2 linked regions of the Ovis aries genome follow. The protein of the gene in region 2 interacts with the protein of the main gene of each other region in a biochemical or structural test. Links are inferred from orthologs where the notes say so. Each region holds a gene or a part of one and is shown on either strand. Other genes may lie near its edges.

What was found.
Region 1: the proteins of EPS15 (region 2) and NUMB form a complex in vitro, tested with the Homo sapiens proteins (2 studies listed by BioGRID and IntAct, with this or other methods). The link is inferred for Ovis aries from reciprocal best matches to the Homo sapiens genes EPS15 and NUMB.

The regions. Positions count from the first base shown.
Region 1 is NC_056060.1:82,819,965-82,828,267, forward strand, and holds the end of NUMB (protein numb homolog), read right to left. Parts: intron 7,981-8,303; coding exon 7,687-7,980; intron 6,128-7,686; coding exon 5,978-6,127; intron 3,149-5,977; coding exon 3,002-3,148; intron 2,202-3,001; coding exon 1,486-2,201; 3' UTR 93-1,485; downstream 1-92. UniProt on the Homo sapiens protein: Regulates clathrin-mediated receptor endocytosis. Plays a role in the process of neurogenesis.
Region 2 is NC_056054.1:25,791,216-25,798,775, forward strand, and holds the end of EPS15 (epidermal growth factor receptor substrate 15), read right to left. Parts: coding exon 7,494-7,560; intron 5,139-7,493; coding exon 4,954-5,138; intron 2,417-4,953; coding exon 2,270-2,416; 3' UTR 16-2,269; downstream 1-15. UniProt on the Homo sapiens protein: Involved in cell growth regulation. May be involved in the regulation of mitogenic signals and control of cell proliferation. Involved in the internalization of ligand-inducible receptors of the receptor tyrosine kinase (RTK) type, in particular EGFR.

The sequences.
Region 1 (8,303 bases), on a different chromosome or scaffold from region 2:
GCAGCGGAATGCAGAGAGGACGAGACCACAAGGATCTGAGACTCATTCGCTAATAGAGCAAAGGACAAAGAACAGCTCTTCATGGCAAAAGCTTCTACCACGAACATTTATTTTTGTTAAAGCAGATTATAAATTCTCATCAGTACAAATATATATATAACATACATTTGATTGTAAGGCCAACGTTCAAAAGTAAAAATGAGATGGGATCTTACGTTGTTACCAGAGGTCAAGTGGCTACAACTGGCAACAGGATGTTCAGCTCACCACAAGAAGAGGGATGGATGCACGCACGCACGCACGCACGCACACGCACGCACACACACACACACACACACACACGCAGTGCTAACAAGACTAGGACCTCCATCCCCACAAAACTCGTGGGAACAAAACTTAAAAGGACAAAACAAAACCCACCAAGACCTACATGACAAACCAACACGGTAACCTGCGTTCCCGTCTCATGGATATGATTACATCATTGTCACCTTAGTGTTAAAGGATTAACATAAGGAAACTGCAGCAGTATAGAAAAGACAAGACATTTTCTATTTAGATTGAACCCATTAAAATAATGACATTACAGGTGTAAAACCAAGACAATACTGCTTGCTCTTTATTTAAAACTACTACCTAGCTGACCATACTGGTCATAAGCATGATTGTTGTTGCAGTGTGCTACTTACAGTAAGTGATACCAAGTGAGCTAGGGATCCCACCTGCCACTTCCAGCCCTTCCTCTTTTTTTACTTCAATAGGCATCAATGATAAACCAATCTTATGTACAATTTCTTACAGCTAACCTTTTTACCTTTGGCAAGATTACTTACAACTCATACAACTTTTTAATAGTGAGAACTATTTAAAATATTCTAAATGCATAAAAATAAAGATTTTGGCTTTTTGATATATATTTATAATATTTATTCTTACTCAAAATGGAAGCTCAACTTTACCCCTAAAACACAGCTCTGCTGGGCAGCTCCTGACAGGCCCTGCTGGGAGTTCCAGCAGCACAGCCTGCCTCTCTTCCCCAGTCCCAGCACAGGCCACCCTGTTCTTGATCTTTAAGAAGGCTAGTGCTGAGAAAGCAGGTAGGTGAAAGGCCTGAAAAACGAAGGGAGATCGTTTGGCTTCCCGTTGTGTTTTATATTCCAGTAAATGTGCTTTGAATACAGATTCCTGTTCAGATACTTCTGCTTCTCTGCTGCCAGAGACTGGTAAGGGGCTGAGGGAGGCGGGACAGAGGACAGGTCCTTGACTTTCTTAGTCTAACTGCAAAACAGCTCTTCCCTAGGAATGGGTCTCTCCACCTTTTTCAATCACCCCCATCCACATGCTATGCCTGGACATGCCCTTGGGGACCTTTGGGATTAGTGAAAAGCTTACTGGTTGGGAATGCAAAGTCCCCTTTGCTCCTCTGACCTCCACCCCCCTACCCGGGCCTAAGTACAGACAAAATACATAAGCCATAAGGACTGCTTAAAGTTCAATTTCAAAAGTCTTCTGTAAATCACTGGAGAAGGGGTTGGTGGGGGAGGGGTTAGTACGCTGCTTGGACTTGCTTTCCAAGGCCGCCCACTGGGCCTCAAAGGGATCCACCGTGCAGGTGCCTGCAGGAGCCTCAGTCTGCTTGTCTCCCGAGGCCAACCTGCTGTCGTCTACACCATTGAGAGCTGCAGAACCGTTGAGGTGCTGAGCAGGAGGCTTAAAGAAGGGACTGGCAGCAGCACTGCTTGTCTCATACTGTGGGAATGTCTGCTGCTTGACCAGGCTGGGAGACTGATGGGGCTGGGCAGCCTGTGGGTGGCCTGCAGTGCCAAACACGTTGGCAACCATCTGGGAGGGAGTGATGCCCACCACAGGCACGTTAGGGGCTGGATAGGTCATCCCGTTAGCCACAGGATAGGACTGGGCAGCGACAAAGGCTGGCTGCAGGGGTGGGACCACGCCCACTGGCACGGGCTGAGAGGTGAGGAATGTATTTCCTTGGAAAGGTGGCACTGGCTGGGCGATGGCAGTGGGTGGGGGCGGCTGGAGGACCGGCTGCAGAGGGGCAGCTGAGGCCTGGGGCTGCTGAGCCCGGACGCTCTTGGACACCTCCTCCAACCAGCGGTCGGCCTCGGAGGGAGTGCGTCTGTGACCAGCCTGGAAGAGACCTGGAGAGACAGCACCGGAAGACTGGCCCCACTCGGTCCCTGGAAGCAACAAGAGGAAGACAGGGAAGAATCAGGATCTTCAGGGGCTTTTTTCTTCACCTGATAATCTCCATTATTTGAATAATCCTAACGTGGAACAAGCCCCCCCAGGGGGATGGTCTGTGGTTTTGGTAGGTGGGAGCAAAGTCTCTATTACCAGCTGAAGAGGTTTCGTGGGAGGACAGGGAGAACCCAGGAGACCTCAGCTGTGCGTCTGTCGTTTACCTCAGCCGTGTCTGGAAGGTGCCAGAGATGGCTCAACTGCACAAAACTGAAGCTGCTGGCTGGCATCAGAACCCTGCCCCCACTGGTGTGGCTCATCTATGGTCCAGAAACCAGCTTGCACATACTCTAAAGAGCTGAGGTGATTCACTTTCTGCTCTAACAGAATGAGAATAACCAGGGACTTGCTGCCCGCCTTCCAGACACATGTCTTCCTGGTGAACTGCCTTTCTGTAGCCTTTTTTTGTAGGCCTGCTATTGTAGGAGGCAGAGTTGTCTCTTCCTACAGGCATGTCCACTGATCTAGACCCAGACACAGGCTCCTGCAAGGGAGGGCCCAGGACTCTGTGTCTTATGAAAGCTCTGTGGGTGGCTCTAGGGTCCTAAGAATTATCAATCTCACCTCTAAGAGCTCCTCTCTGACACCATCCTTCCTTATTAGTAGTTTATTTCCAAAAGGGATCCCACTTTTCCTAAAAGGACTCCTTCCTGGTTCCCACTAAGGTAAATGGCTGATTTTCAAACCAAGGTCACTTATCTGATCCCAGAATCCTCACCAGCATCTGTGGTCACCTTACCCGAATGTGTGGCTGCAATTCCCTTGTTAGCAGCATCAGGGGCATAGGCCCAAGGGTTGGTTTCGCGCACAGGCATTGCTACGGGTGCTAGAGCAGTAGGGGCTGGCTTAGCAGCAAGCACATGGAAGGCTGAGTCAGTGCCATTAGCTACAATGGGAGCAGACAACATTGATGGAGTTAATTCATGCAGGGTGTACAGGTGACCCCTTGGAGCCGGGTCAGTCAGGCCAATATGCAATACTGGTGAAAAGATAAGACAGAAAAGTTGGTGTGGGATAACCATGCCATCTGCAATGAATACACAAACCTTTTGGCAAAGAGAATCAGAGGCTGTAATTAAAATGGGTGTACTGATAAAATTAAATGACTCTTTTAGAAAAACATGTTTATGGGGTAAGAGGTAATGAAGACTCGAAAAACAATTTCAAATTAAGTTAAAAAGAACTGCTTTGTATTACAAGCAGCAAAAATCTATTCTAGCCAGCTTAGCCTTTGGCATAATGATAAAGTGTCATCTATCACTATTTCAAAAGATCAGATTATGCCAGTAGTGGTTGACACAGTCCTCTTTACTCTGTGCTAGGCTCTAATAGTGTTTTAGCATGCATCATCTCAAGCTCCTCCATCCACGGGATTTTCCAGGCAAGAGTACTGGAGTGGGTTGCCATTGCCTTCTCCGATCATCTCAATAAATTCTCTCAAAAACCCCATATTACAGTTGAGAAATCAAACGTGTTTTCATTTGCTTAATTTATAATTTGCTACAGAATTAATTTCATCTTTTTAAGACTTTTTCCCCTTCAGTAATGTTTGTAATGTCTTAAGGCACTCACTCTTGTTTCCTGTCTCCCTTTAATAAAATCCAGTCCTTGCTCCTTTACTCCAGATGGCTATCCCATCAGTTTCTACTCCTTTGCCTAGCTCTCTATACTTGGTATAGAGCAGACAAGCAGGCACCTTCTCCTGCCTTACACCATAATCACTCTCTCTTTAGGACTTGGCAACTATGCTTATGGCATTGGTGCTATTGACCCAGGGCTTGCCTAAAAGACTAGCTTATCCAAAAACTGCAAGTCCTCTAAAGGCAGGAAAAGGACTATATTCTATTTATAGTTTTGTATACCCACTACCCTGTAAATAGGCACAAAGTCAGCTGAATATAATAGGAACTATATTCAGAAAGACTTGGGTTTACATCCTGGCTGTGTGATTTGGGCAGTTCACTTAACCTTTCTGAGCCTAATTTCCCTTATCTGTGATGCCTATCTCAAAGGACTATTGTGAGGATTAAATGAGATGAGGAAAATGCAAGAGTCCTTACCATGATGTACGTGGCAGACATGATGCTAAGTGCCCAATAAATAGTACCTGTTATTGTTGGCAGTATAAGTATCTGTTAGATGAAATGCCACCTGATGCATATGAATATTAAGGTTTTGTTTTGTTTTTAAAGAGACTCCCTCCTGGAGGAAAAGCATGTTGCAGCTTTCAACAGGTGCAGGCAAAAAAACGCCTGCACAGCAAAACTTCTTCTGAGCTCTCTCCCAAAAGAAATGAAGAAAGATCAATTATATGAGCTCAAATTCTAACATCTGTAATTTAAGTTATACAGGCTCTTTGTTGACCTTTGAGTCAATCAGTTCAGTTCAGTCGCTCAGTCGTGTCTGACTCTCTGCGACCCCATGAATCGCAGCGCGCCAGGCCTCCCTGAGTTCACCAACTCCCGGAGTTCACTCAGACTCATGTCCATTGAGTCAGTGATACCATCCAGCCATCTCATCCTCTGTCATCCCCTTCTCCTCCTGCCATCAGTCCCTCCCAGCATCAGAATCTTTTCCAATGAGTCAACTCTACGCATGAGGTGGCCAAAGTATTGGAGTTTCAGCTTCAACATCAGTCCCTCCAATGAACACCCAGGACTGATCTCCTTCAGGATGGACTGGTTGGATCTCCGTGCAGTCCAAGGGACTCTCAAGAGTCTTCTCCAACACCATAGTTCCAAAGCATCAATTCTTCGACGCTCAGCTTTCTTCACAGTCCAACTCTCACATCCATAAATGACCGCTGGAAAAACCATAGCCTTGACTAGACGGACCTTTGTTGGCAAAGTAATATCTCAGCTTTTCAATATGCTGTCTAGGTTGGTTATAACTTTCCTTCCAAGGAGTAAGGGTCTTTTAATTTCATGGCTGCAATCACCATCTGCAGTGATTTTTGAGTCAATTCAGTTAATTTGAGTCAACTGAGTTAATTCAGTATCTCTGAAAACAACTTTTACTAATTCTTCAATGCCACAAAGACTAGTTTTAGGATCCTTGCTATAGAAGATGAAATGAAGTGAAGAGCCAAGAGAAGTGCCTTTTTCTTTACGGGACTCTTATGAAAGGGCAAAGACTAGGTGAGTCCAGTCTTGGCACCATAGATATTTTGGGCCTGATTGTTCTCTGTTGTGAGGTGGCTACTGTGTACATGGAAGGATGTTTATGGGCCTCCCTGGCCTCCACTGGGATGTCAGTAATAACCACCCTCTGCCACACCACAAAACCCAAAACATATCCAGACAATGGATGCTAAATTTTTCCCCAAGGGGGCAAAATCACCCCAGCTTTCTTTACTGTGGTAAAGAAAGCATGAAGCTAGAACCAACTCTGATGACTGCTGTTTCTGGAGAACTGGTTGGGTGCTTTGTCTCTTAACAGTTAAGTAGCAAAGCAGTGGGTTGGGACTACTGATGCTCCTGACAGGATGGAGTGAAAGGAGGGCAGGCACATGCAAAATGCAGACAATCTCAGGCAACAGGAAGGGAACAAAGACACTGTCACACAGGGAAATGTAATGAGCCTGAGACAGTATCAAACAGGGAAATGCAGGGGGTCTGACCAGATCGTGGGAAGCTCAGGATGCCAACTTACACTAGTGATCAGTGTCATAAAAGTATTAGTTTCAAAGAGAATCGCAGGCTAAGTGAGCACCAACCTTGAAAGGCAGGAGACTGTGGTGCCACCACTGTCACTGGTTTGGTCATTGGGGCGGATGAGAAGGGATCCTCAGAGGGTGTGCTGAAGGCATTGGTGATCTGTGAGCACAGCGAGCTGATGCTCTCTGCTTCGCCATCTACCTCTGGCACTGCAAGACAGACAGAAGATGGCTCCAGACAGAAAAACGGAACAAGTCTGGAACAGAACAGTGTCACGTGAGGTGGCATTTTACTCTGCCTCTGTTATTTGTGGAAGAAAAAGACTCAGGTGGGGCTATAAAAGCAACTTCAAAAAACTTACCACTATTCACTAGCTTTTTACATGAGAAGGTACAGAATGCTAACAATTCCTGTACTAAGGCCTACCTTCCTCCCTTGCAAATCCCCAGATTTCTGTATTTCCTCTCCTGTGTGACACTGTTGAAAACATGCTGTTCTCTTTTTGTGCCAGTGAGATTTTTCTAGAAGACACATGCAACCTGTTTGTCTTCCAACCAGGTCCCAAGCCGGTGATGTGAGTTAAGTTTGAGAGGCCCCCAGTGACTCTTTTGAGATAAATGGGTTAAAGTCAGGGGCACCAGTGGGCACTCAGTCCTTTTCTCTGTCATAAACTATGACAGTGTCATCACTGTCATCTTTCTCCAAAGTGTTAACATGAAAAAGTGAACTGAGGTCCAGGACTCTAGCGGCTTTGTTCTTAATATTGACTCTGGAATACTTCTATGTCACGGAGGAAGCTAATTATATGTGTTGAAGCTCTGTCTGCTCAACTGTGAAAAGAGAATAATGGTTTTGTTACCCGCCTGCTCCAGAGGGAGATTGAAAATGAGGTACTTGAAGCATCTGGAGTTTTGGTTTTCATAGGAGTTGAGAGGGGGCAAGACCCTCAGTAATGATCTAGTTTAACTGTTCTTTAGGCCGAGTTTTATCCATCAAAGAACCTAAATCTCTGTGCTTTTGTGCCACCAGCAGTAAGAGTGCCCTATTGAGACACGGCTTCCTCAGATTCTGTTATAGCACTGGCTCAACATGTCTGAGAGCAAAGTAAAATAGGGCCCAATAAAAGCACTGACCGGATCTGACACTTAAGCTTCGGATCTTATGATGAGGATAGAGCTACTGGGGTTGGCTCAGCTGTACAAAGGCCACACAAAGGCCTGTGTGACAGCTCTGAAAGGTAATGAATATGTGTGAGCAATCCCACTGTCTCTGATGAACAACAGATCTTAGATTTATACAGGAGACCTGTTTAGAGTTTCCTCCCTATGGAGCCAACCAGCCACAAGGACAAAGAGAACTTATCCATTTCTTCTGGTACATCTGACAGTGGTGCTATTTAACTGGATGTGTTTCCAAAGCCTTTTAAATTAACTCCCTGCTGGGTCCCAAATGGCAGAAGAAGAAGGGAAACTTGAGACCCTTGATGTCTGAAAGCAGGTACACTTTCATCAGGACAAATCACAAACCATGTAACTTGGACTAGGAATTTCCATCATGGCTCTGTTAACCTATTGCTGAAAATAAATGAACAACTCCCATCTCTCTCTGTGAACCTCCATTTTCTGCCAATGGGAAATGATACAAGCTATGCACAGCCACCAAACAGCCTCAGAAGAGGGGTGGATAGTTTGATGGGATCAGGGACTCCACTGGAGGTGATGTAACGCTTCAGTGCCTGAGCCCCGGGGAGTTGGGGATGCCATGTTACCTGTGTGTTTTATGGGGAAATCAGTCTTCCTCTGCATAGTGGAAGGCAACTCATTGATGCGCAGGGACAGTTGGCGTTTAAAGGGTGACATCTTCTGGCTAAGAGCAGGAAATCCTCGGAAAGAGCCTTGGCGAGCAAGTTGTTCAATTGGTGCATGCCGGCGTGGGATGGCGTGAGGATTGTTCATCTCCAGAGAGGCAGTGGCATCCAGAGTGGGAGAGGTGGGAGAGGATGGGGAGGTGACAATGTTGCCAGGGGCCACTGACGAACCATCAGCTGTCTTATCTGTATCAGCTCAAGAAAACAGGAGAATGAGGACCTTAGGGCAATGTCTTCAAATAATTTGAGCTCACATCACTAAGGAACCCCAAAAACCTCCTGGGTCATTTTACCCATCTACTTCCCTATGTATCTCAAAAGACAGGTTAGAAGCAGGGCTCAGATCTCCTGTTTTTCAGATAAATAAAGGGTTTAATAATCTACTACATGTCACATGGTATATCTACTATTCTCATGTAGTAATTAAAACACTGAACAAAACTAAACAAAACAAAACCCCCCAGTACCTATGAACTCTTAATGTGAGGTCTTTTAACGAATAATAGTGCACTGTTTTC
Region 2 (7,560 bases):
GTATGGAGACTACGGTTTATTATTACTTAAAGTTTATTGTTCTCATAATTACAGGCTACAGTTTAGAAGTTTGAAACATAAGAGAAAATTCTATAAAGAACTCAAATAAATCTGAACAAGTAGGTAGAAGATGGTTAAAACCTTGTAATAAGTGCTACTTAGCTCTCAGGAATACTCATCTGTCCTTTTCCATCACAGGCACTGGAGCCAGAGTCAACAACATAAAATATGATCATAAATGACTCTAAGACATTCATCCTACTCAAGTGAGCATGGAGGTTTAGATATATATATATATTTATATAATATATACATACTTTAATATCATATTGGTCCACTGAGTATACATATTTTAACAAAAGATAAGAATCTATGCAATCCAGTTAAACACACATAAGATTAAGGTACACTGAAAGTTGGTGTTTATAAGTTACAGATATTTAGTACTTTCCAGAGTGTTCTTTTAATTAAAAAAAAATATTTTAAAACCATTTCAAACATCTGCTCATTTTCCCAGTGCAAAAGAAGGTTGTTCAAGTCAACTTACCTTTTTCCTAAAGTGGAAGGGGAAGAAAAAAAACCCAAAACCCACTACCATTTACAACTCCCAACACTACCTTCTCAATCAACTTTTGGAGTATATCCTTATAAATGGATTAGTTTATCAATATTAAAGCCCGGTGATTATGATTCAGCCCTTGCTTTGTCTGTATGACTTTCATGCTGAAATGCTTTAATTTATAAAAGTAGAAAAAAGCAATGCAAGAAAGTAGTTTAAATTCATTTTGAACTGCAGTAATCCAATTGTGTGTGGAGAGAAAAAAAGCACCATTTCAAAATGAAATAATTGGATATTCTGGAATTTATTCATAAGCTAGGCAATAAGTTACTCTGATTAACACAGATCAATACCACCTTGACTTGGTGACCACAGACACATTTAATTACTCTTTAGGTGCATTTTCCTTTATCTTGGTTTTCAACACATTATTTAAGTCAGTAACTGATGTTAAAAAAATTTAGATTACTCTACAATTTACAGCCTACTTCACAGTCCATTTTAAATTCAGCTTGTCTGCTAAGTCAGTTTTGCAGAAGATAGGCTTTTAACACATAAAGAGATCTGATAACTGGGCAGGTCTCCTCTCTCCCAATTTAAAAAAACAAAAAAAAAGTTTTGCTAGCTTGCCAATTTTGTAGGTGAAAAACACAAAAAGAATAGACTATTTTAATCCACAAAGATGGACACAAAGCAATAATGATTTAATACATGTCACTTTTTTCATCTGTATTCAGAGAATGTTTTTACATTTCAAGTAATTGAGCCTTCATTAAAGAAAACAAAAAAATATATATACAAAAAGTTAAAGTACCTTCCAGTTCTAGCTTACTAAAGTTTCTTCTACAAAAGTAAAAAAATAAACCTACCATGAACTAAAGAGGACAGTGCCATGGCAATGGCAGAATGGCTGCCAGGTTAAGATTTTTGCTTATCTTATATTGATGAGTATATTTTAGGTGAAAATTTTTCTTCATTCTCTAAGTACTTAAAATCATGGAGAGGTATCTGTTTATCTAAAATTCTTTAAATCCAGAAAAAAATTTTTTTAATTTATTTCAGACATGAGGCTTTAATATTTTTATTTAGGAAAAGATTGAGTCTGAAGCTCTAATGGTTCCATCTAAAACATCCTGTTTTCAACAGTGGGAGTCAATGTATGCAAAATATTTTTTCTTGTCTATAAAAAACAAATTGAACAGTATTTTGATTAAAAGGAAATACAAACATGTACTTTAAACTGGCCAATTTGCTCTATCATAAAAGAAATAGGCTGTTCTTTCCCTTCCCCTCTTTCAACCATTTAAATTAGGGGAGAATACTGCCAACTTTAAGAACCCCACTGGCTATCATTAGAGTAACTACAGAATAAGGGTAGCATAGGGGTGAAACTATTTCTCTATATTCCAGAAGGCAGAAACTTGGGTGCTCTAGCTTTACAAGTAAGAGAGGCACAGGCAGGCAACAGCTCACACTAAATGCACACCAGAGCAGGGGCCTAGGTGAAGTCATCTGGGTTACCACTTGCACAGGGGGAAAAAAAAGACAAATCTGAAATGGAGTTTAAAAAGCCAAAACTTTTGTCACATTTACAGGAATCTCAAACCTTTTGTATTCCCATGCTCACAGGTAGGTTTGATACACATTGTAAATAGCTTCAGTATTCAAGAAGGAGAGTGTTGTGTGGTTGACGAAGAACAGGAGATTTCTTCATGCTTCTGATATTTCAGATTTGCTGAGTGCAATAGCCAGTTCTAAGTCTTCTTGCTCTTGCTGATTCAGTCGGGCAAGTCTCTGCTCTTCCTCTCTCTCACTTTCTCTCTTGGCCCACTCAATCATATCTTCCTCAGAGGGATACTGCCATTTAAAAGATAAATGAACAAACAAATGAATACATTCATGAGTAAAACAAGTACAAAGAAAAGAAGGAAAAACAGCTTTCACAAAAGGAAATTGAACTATGTGTTTCACCTGAAGGGCTCTGGAAAAAGTCTTGATTTTTTTTTTCCCCCCAAAAACAAGTTTAATTAGTTTAAACTTAAAACTTTAAATTTAAACTTAAAAATTAAATCAAAATATGATTTAATCTTAAAAGCAATGCAGTCTACAGATAGAGAGTCTATAAAACTGAACATTAAAACATCATTTGTAAAAAGTGGTTATTCTTAAGGTGGAACAGATTTAAAAACAGGAGAGAACTAGCATATTTATCTAATGTAAAACATTTACTACTTCAACTTCAGTGAGCATCCTCACATGATACATCATTTTTAACTTAATCCCACTGGCAATTTCCTATCTTATTCTAGCCCTTCAGGTACAGGAAAATTATAAAGCAAAGAATATACTATACATAAATTTTGTTATACATAAAACAAGAGTCCTGGGTATATACCAAGCAAGATGTGGACCTAATCAATTTTTTTAATGCATTATAATGATTTTAGAAGGTATTGAGAACTTTTTGACCCATTCTAAATAAGACCTTAATGCTGGTAATTAATAAGTCAAGGAAATATATGTATCCACCCCAAATAGCAACCGTGGCAGATACTAAATAAAAACATTCTACTTGGTTTCAAGTCCTGTCATATAGAAGAACACCATAATAGGATGAATACCATAACAAACAGGATGAAAAGAAAGAAACTGTCAGGCTTTTTTGAAAATGGTAGCTTTCTTTCTAGGGAATTATAAGATCTTTGAAACTTTTAATGTTTAACAAATCTTTCATTTAAAAAGACATTTTTATTATTAGATGCTTAATATTATACTATACTGAGATTCTGGAAAATGAAAAAAGCAAATTGCTTTTGTTCAAGACTCATTCCAACCAGGTTTTGACTTATTGAAATCATATTTAAGATATTAAGTGCCACAAACTGCCAGAAGGTTATTTTGTACTAAGAGCATTATAGTAAGAAGAGCAATTCTGGGTTCTCTCCTTGAAACAACTCAAATTCCATCTAACAAGAGTCAGTATAATTCTGACACCTTCTGTTTTCCAATATTTAAAATATTGATTCCTGCTCTGCCTCTTCACATTTGGAAGAAGCCATTGAAACTTAAGAGTACAGATTCAAAAGCTAAATAGCCTAGTCTAATTCTGCCTACCTGCTTTACTAACTAGAAATGGCTGCAGGAATAAAGTGATCGGAAGAGTGACCCTAAGCTACACTGAGGGAGACATTAGGCAGACTGTGGTCAGTCAGCTGGCCACTAGATCTCTTATTTATAGAATCATCTCAAAGGCTTGAGGTTGTTAAGTAGAGGAAAACTGCTTTATTATAAAATAGACAGTGATAATGAAGGTCATTTTTATCTAGAAAAAAAAGCAACCTGGGAAATGAAACAGTTAGTTACTCTAAGAATTAAAACAAAAATTTACGTTTATCTACATGATGATGATATACACGTCATTGCTTAATGCCCCACCAGGGTGATATTTCCAGTTGGTTGCCCCATTTCTATGATCTTATAAGACCCGCCTATACTCTTAACACCACACCCTTCTATTGTCTTTATTGGCCTACTCTAGTCAGCTCTGGGAGAATGCAGAGTAGGTATGGAATGCTAGTGAACTGAGTGAGTGAATCAAAGTCGCTCAGTCATATCCAACTCTTTGCGACCTCATGGACTATACAGTCCATAGACTTCTCTAGGCTAGAATACTGGAGTGGATAACCTTTTCCTTCTCCAGAAGATCTTCCCAACCCAGGGATAGAATCTAGGTCTCAAGCACTGCAGGCAGATTCTTTCCTGACTGAGCCATCAGGGAAGCTTTGGGAGAATGTGGAGTAGATATGGGAAGCTAGTGAATTAGAGTCTTCCAAATAATTAAAGATTGTTTAGCTCTTAAAAATATTTATTTAATAAAACTGATTTATATTTTAAGAACATTTCTGTATGAAACCAGAGTTTTATTTTCTATTCAAAGAATTTCTGGTCCTATCTTCTTATATAATACAGTAATTGCTGACTGGTCTCCAGAAATTTTCAAGGTTTTATACACAAACACACATACACAGTTACAAATAACACAAACTCATTATTGGCATTATTTATCCAGAGGGCAGACAGCAAATGACTCTCTAGTGGCCCACTGTCTGTAACAATTTGCAAAATAATAACTGTCAAGGTTTTGCAAAGCACCTGGTATATATCCCAAGAACTAAGACTACTAAAATCATCTTAACAATGCAATAATTTCAGAACTAGCAGACAGAATCAAACAGAGGTTTTCTTGGTTGGGGGAAGAATAAAGATCATTTTTAACATGTTGGTAAATTTAGCTGAAATAATGCAAATTTGGCAGACTCAAAAATAATCTTTGAAAGCTCTTTAAACTATAAATGGAAAGATTTTCCCCCAAACAGCCCATTCACAGTACTTACAGCACTGAAGTTAGCAAAATTGCTTGGGTCAGCCTCTTTATTGGTAGTGGTAGTAGTAGAAGTGAATGGATCGCAAAACATATCAGGATCTTTTTCTTTGGGGCTATCATTGCCTGGGAAAGGCTGAAATGGATCATTCAGTTTAAAGGGATCAGAAGAATCCATTTTGTTGATGGGTCTTTTCCCTGGATCAAAATCATTACAATTAACTCAACCAGCAAGTATGGCAAACACAAACACACAACAACAGGAACACAGGGAGCATTAGAGAAGTGGGGATGGGGAACCTAAAACACATTCTTAATATGGTCTTAAATGACCACAACCAACAGTCTGTCGTCAAAAATTTCACACACAACCTCTTAAGTACACTCCAGTTTTATGCGGGTAAGTGGGAAAACAGCCAAGGGTGAAGCAGCAGACCTGGAATCTTTTCTGCTCAGAGTTAACTTCTTCTCCAAAGTAGCACGCTCCCAAGGAGAGAGACAAGAATGGATAAAACAGGGGGAAAATGACAAATAATGACAAAAACGGCCTCTGCTGTGATAACCTCTGCCTAATACATAATTCTCCACAAGTGGCAGTAAGGGCAAATGATCTCTGAAAAATGCTAATATTCTTCTGATTTTTCTCTGGATCTATATGTAACACCTGGGAGCATGAAATTAAAAACTACTTTGGTAAAGCCCAGCTACTTCTTGTCATCTACAGTATTTCAAACTGAAGGATAGAGAGAATGTTTTGAAGCCCAGGGCCTAAATTCTGTGGTTACTGATAAACTAATCTTTGACCAAACAATAGCATACTGTTATTCATCACCATTTTCAAACAAGTTTTCTAATTTTCAAGACTTAAACTTAGTACTTGCTGAAGAAAGGATAAGAATAAGTGTTAAAATATCTTCAAATCTAAATATATATTCCTGAAGATGTGTTAATCTGGTAACGGCAACCATAACAACAGAGTCTTTCTGTCACAGCTTACAAAAGGTTTTCACATCTCATATCTCAAAGGATCCTTCCAACAACCCTTGGAGGGCAGCATGAGAACTAATGCCACCATCTAACAGCTCAGAGATCTGGGGCTCAGACATAGGAAGCTCTATACACTCAAGATCACAGAGGATATCAGAGGATATTCAGAATGAGAACTTAGATCTTTAATATCCCAGTTCAACAACCATCCCCCCCCTTTTTTTTTTAAATGTGGACCATTTTTATAAAGTCTTTACTGAATTTGTTACAATATTGCCTCTATTTTATGGTTTTTTTTGGGCTCGACATGTGGGATCTTAGCTTCCCGACCAGGGACTGAACTCGTACCCTCTGCATTGGAAGGCAAAGTCTTAACCCCTGGACCACCAGGAAGTCCTCATTCTTCTTTCTTTGATTTTTCTACAGTGATATATACTCAGTTTATTGAAGTCTTAGATTTAGTTACAGCACTAGTATATTAGTTTATTGAGGATTTTAAAAATCACCTCACTATTGACCTCTTAAAGGTATAAAACTTAAATAAGCAAATTAACTGTCACTTGTTTTTTAACATATTCTGACAAATTTACCCTAGAACAATTAAAAGATATAGGCTAGTCTTCCCTAAAAGATAGAAATCGCTTGTTCACTTGATTTTTCAATAGGTAGTTGGGTATTAATAATTTTATTCACAATTCTTTAAATCAAAGAAGAAAAAAGAAATCTGCCCGAGAAATACCACAGGCAGGCTATTATAAAAAGGCAAGAATAAAAATCTAGAACTACTGTGGCTGAAAATTTATCAAGGATATAAGGTAAAAACAATGATGTACCAGATGTGTCTTCTCAAAAACAATCTAGCGGCACTACAACTACCCAGGGGATTGCCCTTTACCACTTCTCATAAACTTTATTGTTTTCATTAATTAAAATTGAACAAAACCCCTTTCTTTGGTACAGTACTAAACAAAACAAAAGCAAAAAAGTAAGAATCTGTTTCTCGACCAAAACACCACCTTTTTAAAATAAAGGAATCTCTTATTGAGGTAAATAATATTTTCCTTCAAGAAAAACAATACTTTCTTTCAAAATTCTGACACCAAAATGCTGAATTGGCCATTCTGATACCAAAGTGGCCATATATTCTCATACTGAAGGACTTAAGGAAGACTTCACACTTAGCAGGAAAAAGAAAGGGACTCTGGATTATTAACCTTCCCTTATAGAAATTTATTAAAATATCACAGTGCAGGAAACTCTGATTAAATGGAAGCTCATTAGCTTTCAAAAAGCAAGAGATTTCATTTACTGCCTCTCTGAAATGATTTAAAAATAGATTAGCTCTTGCCAGAAAGGTAATTCCTGACAGTTACACAGGTTGGCTTCTTAGGCACAAGTCTGTAATTCTGCATTGAGGTCAGAACAGATGATAACAGCAGGCTTCTGCCATGCTTTCTGACTTGTTCTGCTAAGGCCCTTTATATAACGTCTACAGGTAAGGCTCACACAAACTTCTTGGAAAGAAAAAGAAAGCAGTTGATTTAGGAAAGGTACCAACTCTCATACCAGGTGGTGGTGGGCAGGGTCTTGTTGGAGTTCCTATCTTTGGTGGCAGTGCTGGGGGTACATCTTC